Linked DNA regions of Oreochromis niloticus. The protein of the gene in region 2 binds, or shares a complex with, the protein of the main gene of each other region. Links are inferred from orthologs where the notes say so. Each region holds a gene or a part of one and is shown on either strand. Other genes may lie near its edges.

What was found. Proteins that work in one complex are often made in the same cells at the same time.
Region 1: mediator of RNA polymerase II transcription subunit 13-like (region 2) and med25 share a complex: the UniProt entries of both Homo sapiens proteins name them as parts of the mediator complex. The link is inferred for Oreochromis niloticus from reciprocal best matches to the Homo sapiens genes MED13 and MED25.

The regions. Positions count from the first base shown.
Region 1 is NC_031969.2:29,553,786-29,561,096, reverse strand, and holds the start of med25 (mediator of RNA polymerase II transcription subunit 25), read right to left. Parts: upstream 3,117-7,311; 5' UTR 2,959-3,116; intron 2,511-2,958; exon of another isoform or gene 2,373-2,510; intron 788-2,372; 5' UTR 784-787; coding exon 638-783; intron 557-637; coding exon 511-556; intron 272-510; coding exon 147-271; intron 52-146; coding exon 1-51. UniProt on the Homo sapiens protein: Component of the Mediator complex, a coactivator involved in the regulated transcription of nearly all RNA polymerase II-dependent genes.
Region 2 is NC_031979.2:25,761,850-25,768,963, reverse strand, and holds the start of mediator of RNA polymerase II transcription subunit 13-like, read right to left. Parts: upstream 3,049-7,114; 5' UTR 2,245-3,048; coding exon 2,179-2,244; intron 1,310-2,178; coding exon 1,075-1,309; intron 35-1,074; coding exon 1-34. Other genes in the region: c18h3orf33 (protein C3orf33 homolog), read left to right, coding at 4,155-4,355, 4,632-4,691, 4,836-4,995, 5,547-5,707, 5,791-6,048. UniProt on the Homo sapiens protein: Component of the Mediator complex, a coactivator involved in the regulated transcription of nearly all RNA polymerase II-dependent genes.

The DNA.
Region 1 (7,311 bases), on a different chromosome or scaffold from region 2:
GAAAGTCCCTCTGCAATCAGACTGCAGCTTTCTGCTCCACCTCCCATAAACCTGTGTGAAAAAAAAAAGTGTGATTTTCTATGATTTCTCTTCATGATTAGAACAAAGGGGCAGTTTAAAAGGTGTAATAGGGAAATAATTTTTACTGGATGTTGTCGATCCAGGAGACAAATTCGAAGGCTGAGCTGGTTGGCGCGTGACACTGGACATATGACTCCGGAGCACAGTCCACTGTGTTGAAGACCACAAGGCCATACTGTGTGCCCCCGTACTAGAAAACATAAAATAGTAATAATAAATCATCCACAGAATTCAAAAAAGATATCTGAATTTCAGCAAACAGTGACAGGGAATGCAAGCTAAAGCATTAAAAACAGAGATTAGACTGTCTACAGTGTACCTTGCCTCTTGCCCTATGTCAGCTGGGAAAGGTTTTAGCCCCCCCCAACCCAACCTTAAGTTGGATAAGCAGTTAAAAAGCTAGAAAACAGGAATTAGAGTAACACTCACATCTCCACCAAAATCTGTTTCTGCTGGAGGCCCTCCATTAAAATACCTGTGGTGAATGAAATAAAATTAATTCATAGCTACATGACATTAATGATTTAGGAAACAATGGGTAGCTTTAGATACTTACTCAATAGCTGGAAGTATGTAATTTTTTCTTAAAGATTCAAAGTATGGTCCAAGGTTCGCTGTCCCTTCAATGACAAACACCACATCAGCCACCTGGTTGGGCCCAGGTTTACTGGATGGCTCCATGAGTGCCGAACCTGCCACCATAGATCTAGATACAGAGGAGAAAGTTATCATAGTTTAAAAAAAAAAAAAAAAACTACAATAACAACCAAAATTAGGTGTGAAAAACATTTCTTGGTTAAAAGACATAAAATAAATTTAGTCTGACTCATTTCTTCAACACCAGCATTAGCAGGATTTGGTACATGTAACTCTAAGCCTCTCACCTACCTTTCTATTTTAATGCATTTCTGATACTCTTGAATCTTGATTCAACAAATATAATTCATAATATAATTGACATTGAAAATGACAAAACAATTCTAAAAATCACTTTTGTTAAAACTTGGATGAAAGGCCCTTGTGGTATTTATGGCATCTATTATGATCCGTATGTATACTCTGGAGCACAGTGAGAAGACAGACACATTGGGCTACAATTCAAACCCCTATTCAAAAGTCAGGACAACAGCGTCAACAAAGTTGTGCTTGTTTATTTTCCTTTCAAACTAAACAAAAGCAAAAACATGTAAATTCACTTCACATTTCATATATATTCATTTAGAAAACATTACATTTTAATTTTTTTAATATTGTCCGAACTACTATCTTTAGTGTCTTGATGCATGCTCAATCATCCAGGTAAGTAAATCCCCCAAAATTGATTCTGTTCATCTGGACATATATCTGAAAACGCAAGACCCCAGGTGCAGGCTGTGTAAAGATGCCCCAGAGACAATCCAGCACATAACAGCAGGGTGCAAGATGCTAGCAGGCAAGGCATACATGGAGCGCCATAACCAAGTGGCCGGCATAGTGTACAGGAACATCTGTGCCGAGTATAACCTGGAAGTCCCGAGGTCAAAATGGGAGATGCCCCCAAGGGTGGTGGAGAATGACCGAGCTAAGATCCTGTGGGACTTCCAGATGCAGACGGACAAAATGGTGGTGGCTAACCAACCGGACATAGTGGTGGTAGACAAACAGAAGAAGACGGCTGTAGTGATCGATGTAGCGGTTCCGAATGACAGCAATATCAGGAAGAAGGAACACGAGAAGCTGGAGAAATACCAAGGGCTCAGAGAAGAGCTCAAGAGGATGTGGAGGGTGAAGGTGACGGTGGTCCCCGTGGTAATCGGAGCACTAGGTGCGGTGACTCCCAAGCTAGGCGAGTGGCTCCAGCAGATCCCGGGAACAACATCGGAGATCTCTGTCCAGAAGAGCGCAGTCCTGGGAACAGCTAAGATACTGCGCAGGACCCTCAAGCTCCCAGGCCTCTGGTAGAGGACCCGAGCTTGAAGGATAAACCGCCCGCAGGGGCGTGCTGGGTGTTTTTTTTTTTTTTTTTTATATATATATGCATGCTTCCAGCTATTGAGTAAGTATCTGAAGCTACCCATGGATTAAACAGTACAGTACTGACCCCACAAACCAATAGTCACCAGTGGTGTTAGTTTTAGTCATTATGCAAATGCACTGTTTATAACCTGCAGTCAACTGAGATTGAAGAACTCACTTGGTTGAGTGACGAAACGTTTCTCCAACTGAAAACGCAAAGTCCATATGAACAGCTTCAACTTTTTGGGATACCATCTTTAGCGTTACCTTGTTTAATTTCCTGTTTGATCTCTTACCTTAATTCGAGCTCGATTATCTATGTTATTTGCTTTTTTGCGTTTCTGTTTTGTCAGATACACAAGTAAATCACTCTGAGCTGAAACACTCCAATGTAAGATAGTGATTTCACGGACATCCAGCAGCTACAGTACGATGGAAGCATGTGACTTCACCTCTGTGAAGGTGTAACAGTTTTCTATTCTTTCTCAAAGAAAAACAAAAACAGCACTTGTGTTTTTCAATGTAGCACACTTGCGAGAAATATATTTTCTTTTTTTCCTTTCTTTTTTTTTTTTTTAAACCGGTGATAAAATACCAGATGTTTGCTGCGATAGCTGTGCGCTCCAGTTTTAAAGGTAGGACCTAAAACCTAGCTGGTACTCAAATCGCTAATCATTAATCCATAATTAATATTGCTAATCGACATTATCGCCAAGGGGAGGTAAAACGCAAGCTAACGAAGTCAACAACAGCTGAAGTGCGCACAGCTTTCGTTTTAGCGTTAGCTAGCACAGCAAACGTCAGTGAGCGATTTAAGCTAATATAGTTCAAATAGCCCCAATTAACAAGCCTTTATCAAGCTGTTAAGTGATGTAGACTGACCTGATGGACTGTGGCTGTCCGACGAACCGCTGAACCGGTTGGACCAAACTATAACTTTAAAAATTAACTTGAACTACACAGCACAGTTAGCCTGAGCATTTGTTGTATTTTTGACGGAAGTGACGAAACGACACGCCCACGAGAGGCCAAGAATCTAAAAAAACCCAAAAAACTTTATTAATAACAACAAAGCGGAACATGGCATACATCAGGTTGTCAAGAACACCGAAAGGAGTACAAGGAAAATAAACGAAAACGATACAACTTGGGAATTACCATAAACACAAAATACCAGGGTTTTCAAGCCGTTCTAACACACAAAATTATAGAAGTATATTAAAGTCTTTAAGACGATGACACGGTTTTAAGGTATTTTCAATTCTCGCTGTCCATTACTGAGAAAATGTAATGCTTTATTATCAAAAGTAATCCAGTGAAATTTGGCTTACGACTGGAGAACTTGGATGAGTGAATACACTGTCAATATCACTGTAACCAAGCAAAACGTTCTTCCAGGATAATGAAAAATTAGGGTTACCATGATCAGAAACAAAACGTGAAAGTATGCTCCAGAGATGTTTCGTAAACCAGCAATACCAGAATAAATGAACCACTGTTTCAATATCGGTTTCACAAAAAGTAACAATTCACATTAATACCCCTTACAAAGAATAAAACCAACGCCTGATAGTAATGAAAACTAAACTAAATCTAAACATTTTCAGACATTAAAAAACTAAACCAAAGTATTGCCAGTTCACTAAACTGAGCTTAAAACTCAAAATAAAAATGAAATAAAAATGAAATCTAATTAGAAAATGCAAAACTAATAGCTTTGGTCCTCATCAGTCAAAGATGTTTTTGTCTGGTCCCAAATAGCAGATATGTACCTAAACAAGTGCTTTTGCAAACGTATACCATGCAATAGAAAATACAGCTACAGCCACGACAACAAATACAATCCAAGCATTTCAGATATTCATTTATTGAACAGCAGATTAAATTCAGTGGCACATGTAAATACGGGTCTTTGCAAGCTTAAAGAAGTCCAGTTACCTTGTTTCTTCTATAACTGATAAGAAGAGAATTTATTTGTTGTCTTCTTAGGCTTACTGAAGGCCAAGACCCTGATTATATCCAATTCATTTTGAGTTTATTTTATTTAAATAGCACCAATTCAACAACAGTCAGCTCAAGGTGCGTTCTATTGCAAGGTGAACACAATATTAGACAGAGAGAATCCCAACATTCAGATGATCCCCTATGACCAAGAACGTGGTGACAGTGGGGAAGGGGAGCGTGGAGAGATGAGGATAAAAAACAAAAAGGGACAGAAGACAAAGTTTTGGTAACATGGAGTTGTGACATATAAACAGAAATTCCCCAGCAGTCTGAGCCTATAGCAGCATGAATAAAGGATGGTTAGAGGTCACCTGATCTAGTATGCAGAGTAATATGCACTGGATGATGAATTATATATAAAATGAAAAGAAGTAGGAAACACAGAGACTAAACCGTAAAGTGTTGAGGAGGCAACATGCATGTAAATAATGTCACAATAACATTTAAGAGCATGATCTGTCCAGGTGTTTTCCTAAATGCTAAATTCATCTAGTTCTATTTTGAATAAAAACAACAACAACATCAAAACAATAACAAAAGAAACAAAACAAAAAACAGTCAAGCCATTAATTCTTCATTCACAGTGTTGGTATTTTCTCGCTTCCAAAGGTATGACTAAGTGTTTGGGTCACTTCCAGCCCACGCTTAACTTGGTGGAACCCACTTCATGACTTTTTAGACCATGTCTGGCCCATAAACATTTGCCATTGCCATAACTGATGTGTAAGTGCCCAGAGCAGGCCCAGACGTCTCTGCTATCTGGCTACTTGTAAGCAATTACTGAAAATGAAATGCCCTCAATATATATTGCTCCACATAATGAAGCATGGAGGTGCAGGGTCATCAGTGAATATTGTCTTGGCTCAGACTTCTAAACCTCATCTTTGCTTTTCAGTGCTTTGCCAGTAGCCTGAGTGATGAGGAAGGGCTCCAGTTATCTTTCCTTAAATCTATCTAATGACCAACCTGAGGCAGCCAGAGGGCTTTCCTCAAGGGTAAAACTGAAATCTACACTTTAAAAATCTAGACTTTAAAAATCCAGACAGTTGACTATTACAGACAACAATGGCAGGTGCATTCAGATGAAATCCCTCGAAGTGCAAAGGACAGGAATCACATGTTAATTTGCTTAATACAAACTTGTGCTCAGTACTGAAAAGACAGAAATTGAAATCTTTGAGTGTTGCCACAGCAAAAAACAAAAAAACAAAAAACAGACTATCTTCTCTTTTGTGTTTCGAACAGGGTTCTGAGGACGAACGCTGGAGATATCCAAGTGCTTTTGATCCAGACCTCCAGCAGATGTCAGCAAATATCTAGCGATGATGAACTGATGATGGTCTTATCAGAGAGCAGGCTACAGATTTTAACCTAAAGTTCCTTTAATTTAGTGTCAGACTGTTTATCTATAGTAGCTATGTGTCTAGAGTAAGTTACATATAGGAAAAGCTACCAAGACAAAATCCATGGTACTGAGAAAAACATCTTCACCACAAAGCATGACCTGTGATTTTTAGGCTTGACATGCTTAACCTAGTTGTTGCTTTTTTCTGGATTTCATGGTTTCATAACTTCATTGTTCTATAAAAAGGCTTTCTCATTCCCCTTGCAACCTCAGTGCTGGAAACAAGAATATAATTACCACAGCAGCTATCGGCACATTAACTGCTGTCAGATCAGCACAATACACCAGAGGCTAACCTGTAGTTGTAACACATCGGCATGCTGCTTCTGTGGGTCCAACAATAGCATCCCCTTCCCTGTGGTAATGCCAGCCAGTCAGTCAGCTTAGCACAGCATTCAGCAAAGCGCTTCAGAGCTAATCAAGCTCAAACCCTCCCACAGAAACAATGCTCCACATCAATTTAACCTAAATTCTAAGGAGGGCAACAAGCTGTGGGCTCAAGCAGCTTTTCCATTTGGGCGTCAGTAAGCAAGAACGCTTCAGGCGACCTAAAGAAAGTTCATCTGAGGGAGGGTTTATGCCCAAGGCTACCCCCTGGATGCAAACATTAGCTCCCCCACAGAGCTTTTTTATTTTGAATGAGCATCATGGCCAAATTAAACTGACAGAATGGATGGTGAATGTTCGTGTGTGTGTGTGTGTGTGTGTGTGAATGTGCCTGCGTAGGCATCCCTTTACTTTGCAACTCTGATGCTTTCTGCCGCTTAGAGGAATATACAGTGTGTCTCGCTGCTTTGAACTTCAACTCACACAATGCCAGCAGTTGCCAAGCAATTACAGAAGGCCTGCTTTCTGTGTATGCCTTTGGAAGACCAGACAGTGTTTTCTTTTTTTTTTCCTCTTATGTTCCTTGTTTGGTCAGAGAATTACATAATACAATATGAATCAGAAATATAGTTGGTGCCGTAGCTATCTATGTCTGCAAGGTCCAGGTGGTGTGGTAAAGACAATCCATCTCCTGACATTGGTACCCAGCTGGGATGCTGAGGGCCAGATGGTCGCCTCACAACAGGTAATCACAGCCAGCATGCTGATACAGTGGCATCCACACAAATAGGTTACCAGACAAATAGGTTACCAGAGGCGTTTCCAGGAATGTGAAAGAAAAGCAGCCAACAGGAAATCGTAATATTTGATCAGAAATAAATCCAATGTAGAAAAATTTGTGTTGAAAACCTTGGGTGTGATTTGTAGGCTTGTGTGCAACCTGAAACAATGTAATACATAAAAAATTGTGCTGCACAAGAGCCTGAAAATTGTTCAGCATTGGATAACTATTTTGCAAAGTGGTGAAGTAGCAATGTCAAAATCTGACTTAGTATTAGTATGAAAAGTTTTAGCAATAAATAAGATACCTGAAGTAAAGGGAAGGGGCCTTTCCAGAAGCACAGGCATTATATTGTTAGATCACAATTATTCATTAATGTGTAAATCACTTTAAACTATAAAAAAGATATTAAAAAAACAAAAAATAAAACAAAAACATATAAAAAAGGCAAAATTTAAATTTATGTTTTAAAATCATATCTAAAAGCTTTAAAATAAATGACATGGAGAACAAAGTACAATATTTGGATCCAACATATAGTGAGTTGGAAGCAGAAAGTGGAGTAACATAGATATATTTAAATGAATGCATTAAAATTGTATTTGTGTCATTAGTTCAAAGATAATTAATTCAGTTATATTATGGTTAGACAGCTCCGTCCCATGACCTCCTCTGGACACACCCCTGCACAGAGTATTAGATCTGATAGTATTTTTTA
Region 2 (7,114 bases):
GATAGGCCACTTTCCCACTCACCATCCTCCTCACCTGAAACAAGGCAGATGCAAACATGATGACTTTAACAATCAAAGCTTTTTTTCCTGATAAAGCTAACCAGTGTTAAATGTACTTGGTTTTGTCATACATGCGTAGCCTTAATTTGGCTGTGCAAAAAACAAGAAGACCACAGTTACACCTGCTCTACCGCGTATAAATACAGGAAAACATTTAATATTAATAAAAGTCTTAGTTGCTGTTATGTAATGACGTGATCCAAAATAAAAGGCTTCAACCCAGTTACTGACTTATGTAACAGAAAATAAACTATTTTGTTAAATTACAGAGAAATTATTAGATTAGGTGAAGCTTACTCATGCCATTCCTCTCTGATCATCAAGAGCTATACTCCCTGCATAGTGGAAAATTCAAATTTCCAACTATCTTTGGAGCTCAAGAGAGATTTGAAAAATTGTTGCCAACTCTGTCTCTTTAATGAGCAATTTCTGCAAGTAACACTTCACCCCACCTGGGACAAAATACCTGTGTGTTAGCCCCTAAGGGTACTTTTTCTCTAAGAATATGAATATGAATATCAACAAAGCAGGATTGAATCTCCAGAAATCCAGAGGTGTGTCAGGTGACTATGATGCACAACAACTTGTTCTAATCCTACCATGCAAGTCTGTGTCTCTGTGGCCGTGGGCCAATCAATTCCACAAGGCTTTAAAGACATTCAAAGACCAGTTAGCCACAAATTCAAGGGCCTTAGAAATTATTTTTAATCAGACTTTGCATCATCAAAAATGTGTAAGAAAAATATTTGATACAGTAAGCATTTCAGGACAGCATCTCTAGGAAGTATGTTATTAATATCAACAATTACACACTTCAATTTAAAATTGTTCAGATGGCACAAACTGAACTAAGTGCTGTGAAAGCACAAGAGTCCACATATAATTTGGGGTAAATCACCAAATAATATTGGAATTTAATTCAGTGAAGTGAAATAAACATTTTCATCTAATAAACTCTGATGCTGTCAGAATCACAAATCTTGCAGTATTCGTGGAGAGGTTAAATGCACTTACTTAAGAGCTCATTGTGGATAAGCTCTGCAAAACTGGGGTCATCACCCCACCAGAAAAGCCAGAGCTCTCTGCGACCCGGGGTGTGGTGCCTCCTCCAAACACTCAACACATCTGCCGCCAAGCATCGGCTGAAACTGCACAAGATTGGGTCCTCCTCAGTCACAGGGAAAAGGATAGGCGAGGAGGTGGGTCCTTGCCACACAAAACGCCGCCATTTTATTCCAGTCAAATCAGCCTTAAAGAGAAGAAGAATAGTGATGTGAGAATGTGAGAATGAACACAGAGACACAGAGAATAACTGCAAAGCATAAAGCCATTTTCCAGTTGTTTACTGCACAACTCTTCATGCATCTTGACCTAACACACTGCAGTAACAAGACAGCCTTTGCTGCTAAAATTACTTTCAATTCAATTAATTTTATTTTATTTATATAGTGCAAAATCACAACAACAGTTGCCTTAGGTGCTTTATATTGTAAAGGTATAGATCCTACAATTATATTGAGAAAACAGAAAAAGGAAACTTTGAATAAGCAAAGCTGAAAATTGAGGTTTGTTTACACTGTTGAAAGTTTTCCTGTACTCTTTACACTTGCCAAGATGATCACGCCTGAAGCCATAACACCCAACTATAAGGAAATAATTTACAACCAGCAAGTTAACAACCAATGACAGACCTGTCAGTTTAAAACCAGACTGGTCTGTCTCAAAATGGTTGGTGACAGCCACAATTAATTTGCATGCAGTGCAGTTTAAATCAAGGAAAAACAATATGTTCAGCTGGTTTTAGAGAAACTGCTCGTTTAGTTGTTCTTTTTACCACCATGTAAATAACGTTATTGCTAGCGGAATATTTTAGCACTCAGTGCAGTGTAAACACAAGATCGTGCCATATTTATCAACCAGCCTTCAAAATAGTTGTCATGCAGAATGTGCTGGCTCTGTTATGAAAGTTGGCTCAGATCACGATTTGTTAGTTGCAGGCCCGATGCCTTCACTCCAATCTGCAACTGACGTTACAAGGCTTGTTGCCTTATTAGCCAAAATGGCTTTCTGGCCTCTCAGGATCGCTAACGCTCGCTAGCTCACAGAACAGAGTCTTACCAGGCAGAAGAGGTTGGAGTGGCAGTCCTCCAAACTGGCCCCGTTTGGTACAAAGCACGAACTCATCCTTTCACTGCGTAGTTGTAACGTTAAAATCCATGTTCTCAATCACCTTCGGGGGGCAATAGCCGATCTGGGTAACTCGCTTGCGAAGCTATGTTCAGCTCTAATTATCCCGTTAAAGCGCTGCCAACTTGCTAGCTTCAGCTAGCTGACGCTAGCCAAACAGTCAACTTCTAACCGGCGCTAGCCACCACCACTAGCCTGGCAGCTAAGCTAACGTTAGACAGACAGCCAGAACGCGTCAACTGTAAGCTTCTCGCTATACGATTCATCAATCCTATTTGAAATGTATTGTCTGATCTGGTTAGCCGCAAGCTTGCGGCTACATCACCTCAACATTAAATAATCATCGATAACAAATCGAAGAAAGACTAGCGTTAAATACACCACCGGAAAAAGTTAAATGCGCAATAAAAATACGAGCTCAAAAACTTAAAAGAAAAACTTAGATGCTGGTATGCTAATGCTAATGGCAGCTAGCTGCTCTGAAACAATTTCAAAGCGGAGGAACTCGCCCCTCCTCCCCCTGAGCTAGCCTAGCCTGCTAACACATTCGCTAACATACCAGAGCTCCAGCGTTAGCTCGCCAGCTAAATAAAACAACCCGCTACGCCGCCCTCCTTTTCACCAAAACCACCATGGTGCTCCGTCATATTAAAACTACCCTTAAAACGAATGAAACACCCCAAACTAGCGTGACTACTCATCAGCTACTCTTCTCTGCCTGCTCCATAGGTCCTGCAGATTTCCATTATTTCAGTTCATGTATTGAATTCTTTAATGGCGGCCAGGAGGACAACTCTGCCTCTTAGCTCCTATTGGCCAATTTGTGGTAATGGGGGCGTGATCCAGCTTCAAGTAGCTCCATGACTTCACAGTTTACAAGATGAAAGCTCCAGTGCATCTGTCATGCAGTGGTCACTCCTCAGTGATGCCTGTTAACGTGCATGTTTCACTGTGCAACATCTGCTGCATGGACAGTTATGGGAAATATTTGGTGAATTATTGTTGGTGGTGGGAACATGTGTGTTTGTTTGCATTGTTATGTAAAGGTAAAAAAAAACAAAACCAACTGACTTATTCTATTGTCTTCTGGGGGCGTTTGCTTTGTGCATTGAATAATAATAACTAGATGACACGAAGTCATCTAGTTATTATTATTTTTATAATTATTACTGAAATTCTTTCAGGAATACAGTGGTGCAAATAAAGAACCAACATTTGCATGAAACACAAACACTGATCAGGCTACATACATATAGTTGACAAATTAATATGTATATATGGGGAAAATGAACAATAAAGAAAAAAACACATTCAGTACTGAGATTTTATTTAAGTGCATTTTTGAAATTTACTTTGAAATTAATATAAACAAACTTTTTCATGCATTGCAACAACCCTTAAGAAGCAAACTCAGTTCAATCAAATAAAACCCCTTTGTTCTAGATGAATCTGCAAATATGTTACTGCAGTTTAAATTTGTGTGCATTTCAGAACAGGTGGATTGCACCTGATAGAAAAGGCATTAATCACGAGTTAAATCTTTATACTTTTTAAATCTAACAACAACAACAAAAACAGACATAAACAAATAAATTCAAGGGAAGATTTTAAATAATGAAGAAATCTAGGTCAAACTGTGTAGACAAAGATGGATACGTCACTGATCCCAGCGGTGTTCAATAATGTGAACCTCAGCTGCATTTTTGCATGGACAACTTTTTCTCTACCCCCTCCTCAACGTTATTGCAGCGCTAAGTAAACAGCTTCGCCATCCACCGGGCTGGTTATTTTGGTGCTTTTTATGTCACACGGGCTGTGAACTTGATGCTTTCACACGCATTGGACGTGCACACCTTCCTGTCATTTCCACAGCAGACCACAGGGCGGAGCCTCCGCACGAGCCTTCAATGGTGAAACTTCCCTCCCCCGAGTGGGCGGGGCTTCGGATGCTTCGAGAAAATGTCAACAACATGCCGCAGACTTCCAGAGAAACAGAAAGTGAGGAGGAAATGAGGGACAGACAACAAAGAAAGGAAGAAACCCCGGTGTCTCATAACATCGTGACTTTACTATCTCAGTTCGCAGATGATAATTTAACGCTCGTGCGGGTAGGAGTCTCCTTTGTTTGAAAGCTGGGATGCATAGACAGCATGGTTACTTGACTGTCAGCCTGCATCTGCTTTTAATCTTTCACTTGGTGGTACCCTATATGTTGAAAGGAAGGACTGTGGTCTCATGCAAAAGCCTTCATGGCGCTGACCAGATGTCCTTTCTCTAGTTGTCCCCAGCAGAGTATAGTGCTCATGTGCATTATCAGTGACCAGCACTTTAGCCTGGTTGGCAACATCACTCTCATCCCTTTACTTTTCCCTTGTCTCCCACAGAATATAAGCACTGGACTGGCCATTGCTGGTGTAATTGTCATAGCAAGGAGTATCAAACTGGTAAGGGAGAAAGACCCTCAAATGTTCAAAATGTTGTGTGCTATCTCAATTCGCTCTATCAAATCGACATCCTACTACATAGGATGTCATTTTTTCTGTGTTTTTCTAGAATGAGTCATTCACTTGTCTGTTCCACCTCTGTAGATCACAAAATTTCAAGCTGCGTGTGACATCCCCACACGTTTTATTGAGAGGAACGTCAGCCTTCGTGGGAAAGTCCATTCCATCACAGAGAAAGGATTTAAAGTGGAGCACGTCCCAATTTATCTGCCTGTTATCTCTCCATTACTTTCAAAGTATAAGGGTAATACAGGAGAGAGAAGATCATGAAAGCATGTGCACTATCACACTAGAAATACACGGTCTATACTATTCAGAGCCACTAATCTATGGCTTAGCAGCGTAATTATTTCATCTTTTTGCACCATAATATAATTGTGGCGTTTTTACTTTGCAAAGTCGGATATATTTTATTAAACTGCCATGACTGAAAGTGGCAGGTAAGCCTGTTAGCTGCTATATCAAGTCATAGTAGTCACTGAGCAATGAAATCATAAGGTGCAGCATCAGCTACTTCACCGAGGACACAGATAACACGTTTGCCCCACCTGACTCAACATTTCAAACCTGATCAGTCATTTAGTATAGAGAGGGTTCAATTTGTCTTTGCATCTAACAACAATTTTTTTTCTTTATTATTAAATGTAAAATGCAACATTTCAGTAGTGACACCACTAAACTGTTACATTATGCTTACACTACTAAAAAAATACAGTTTCAGGCCTTGCTCAAAATTCATATTCTAAACAGAATACATAAAATGTCAGGTAAATGCTTTGTCTTTCTTCTTTTCAGATGTGTCTACATCCCTGCTGCTGGTCCATCTTGCAGGAGTGGAGCTGACACCACAGGGGAAACTATGGCTGGAGAAGAACGTGGCCCCTTCCCAAATGGTGTGGTTGAAGCTTATCAGCCGAGAGGACGACATATTGCATTGTTTGGTGTCTCAAAGCAGGGTAAGAGAAACCTTATGTGGAAAATTGAGTAATTAATTTCAAGTTATAAAGTGATATTTCCCTGTCTTCTCGCATCTCTCCAGAAGGGGTCATTGAGGAGCTACTGTATGAACGAAGAGGTACTCAGGCTCGGACTGGCTCGCACTGCCCCCGTAGCTGGTGTCCTCCCTGACTCGCGCCTCTACTGGCGTCTCCACAGACGACTGCACAGGGCAGAGGTGAAAGCTGAGAGGAAGGGTCGGGGTATGTGGAAGGAGGACACCCTGTGGGAGAGAACTTCCAAAGCTATCAGGGACAACGCTGTATTCAGACTGTTGAAGAGGATCTTTAAAAGAACCTGATGCACCAAGTGAGCGATGATTTCCAAGTCAGAATCACAAAAAAGTTTGTTGGAAGTGTGGAAGTGGAAGCCAAAAATGTGATATTTTACATTCCCTTTATTGTGCACTTAGGATTTCTTTAAGTCTTTGATCTGCTTTATTTTCTCTAATACTTAAAAAAAATTCCCAAGAAGTACATTTATACATCAAATCCTTAGTGCACCTGTTGCAAACGATTGAAACGTGTTTTACTGTGTTTCTCAGTCATAAAAAGCTTGAAATTCTTAAAAAGGTTGTTGAACGCTCTTCTTCAATCCCTGAGCTTTCATTACCAATTAAACTAGAGCTAGACACAGCCTCGCCTATTGGTGTGTGTGTGTCTGTATGTGTGTGTGTGTGTGGGAAACCCCACTAAACTCAAGACGGGGGTGGGGTATTTAATGGTGTTCAAAATAAAGGGGGGTCCACTTGTCCACAGTTGCTATAGAAACACCAAATGTGAAATACAAAGCGACTCCAAGGCTAAACTCTATATTGGTGGCCCCCAAACCCCATGGGAGCCTTATATATTGAGTGTGTGTGTGTGAGGGGGCTTTTAAGTACCTATAAAGAGGGCCCTTTTAGTTGTAATGTGACCAGTACATTTAAGCACTAAGCACAGTGGGAAATGGGAGATCAAATCTGTTTGTTTCAGAACGCTACATGCTGTTATTGCAGGCATGATTGAAAAATCTCATGAGTGATATTTATCTGCAAACGTTATTCTAATCAGCATACATTGACACCTGCACCAAAGCTAATTTCCTGTTGAGGATCATGCTCCTGTTATTGCTTTTTCTTTGCCAACATTACACCTTGTGCCTGTGGCTGTTACTCATGCTTCATCTGAGCAAGGCAGATGAGGAGGAGGAGGAGGTCCTGCAAAAATGAGGCCAGTCAGCGATGCGTCCTGAGGGGTGCGGGGTGGGGGAGTCACAGTGTAGCGAGAGGTGAAGCAGTCAATCCAGTGGGGCACAAGGAGATTAGTGCAGAGGAGGAGGAGGAGGAGGAGGGTCACTGGGGTAGAAGGGGATTTTGAGTTTGAACA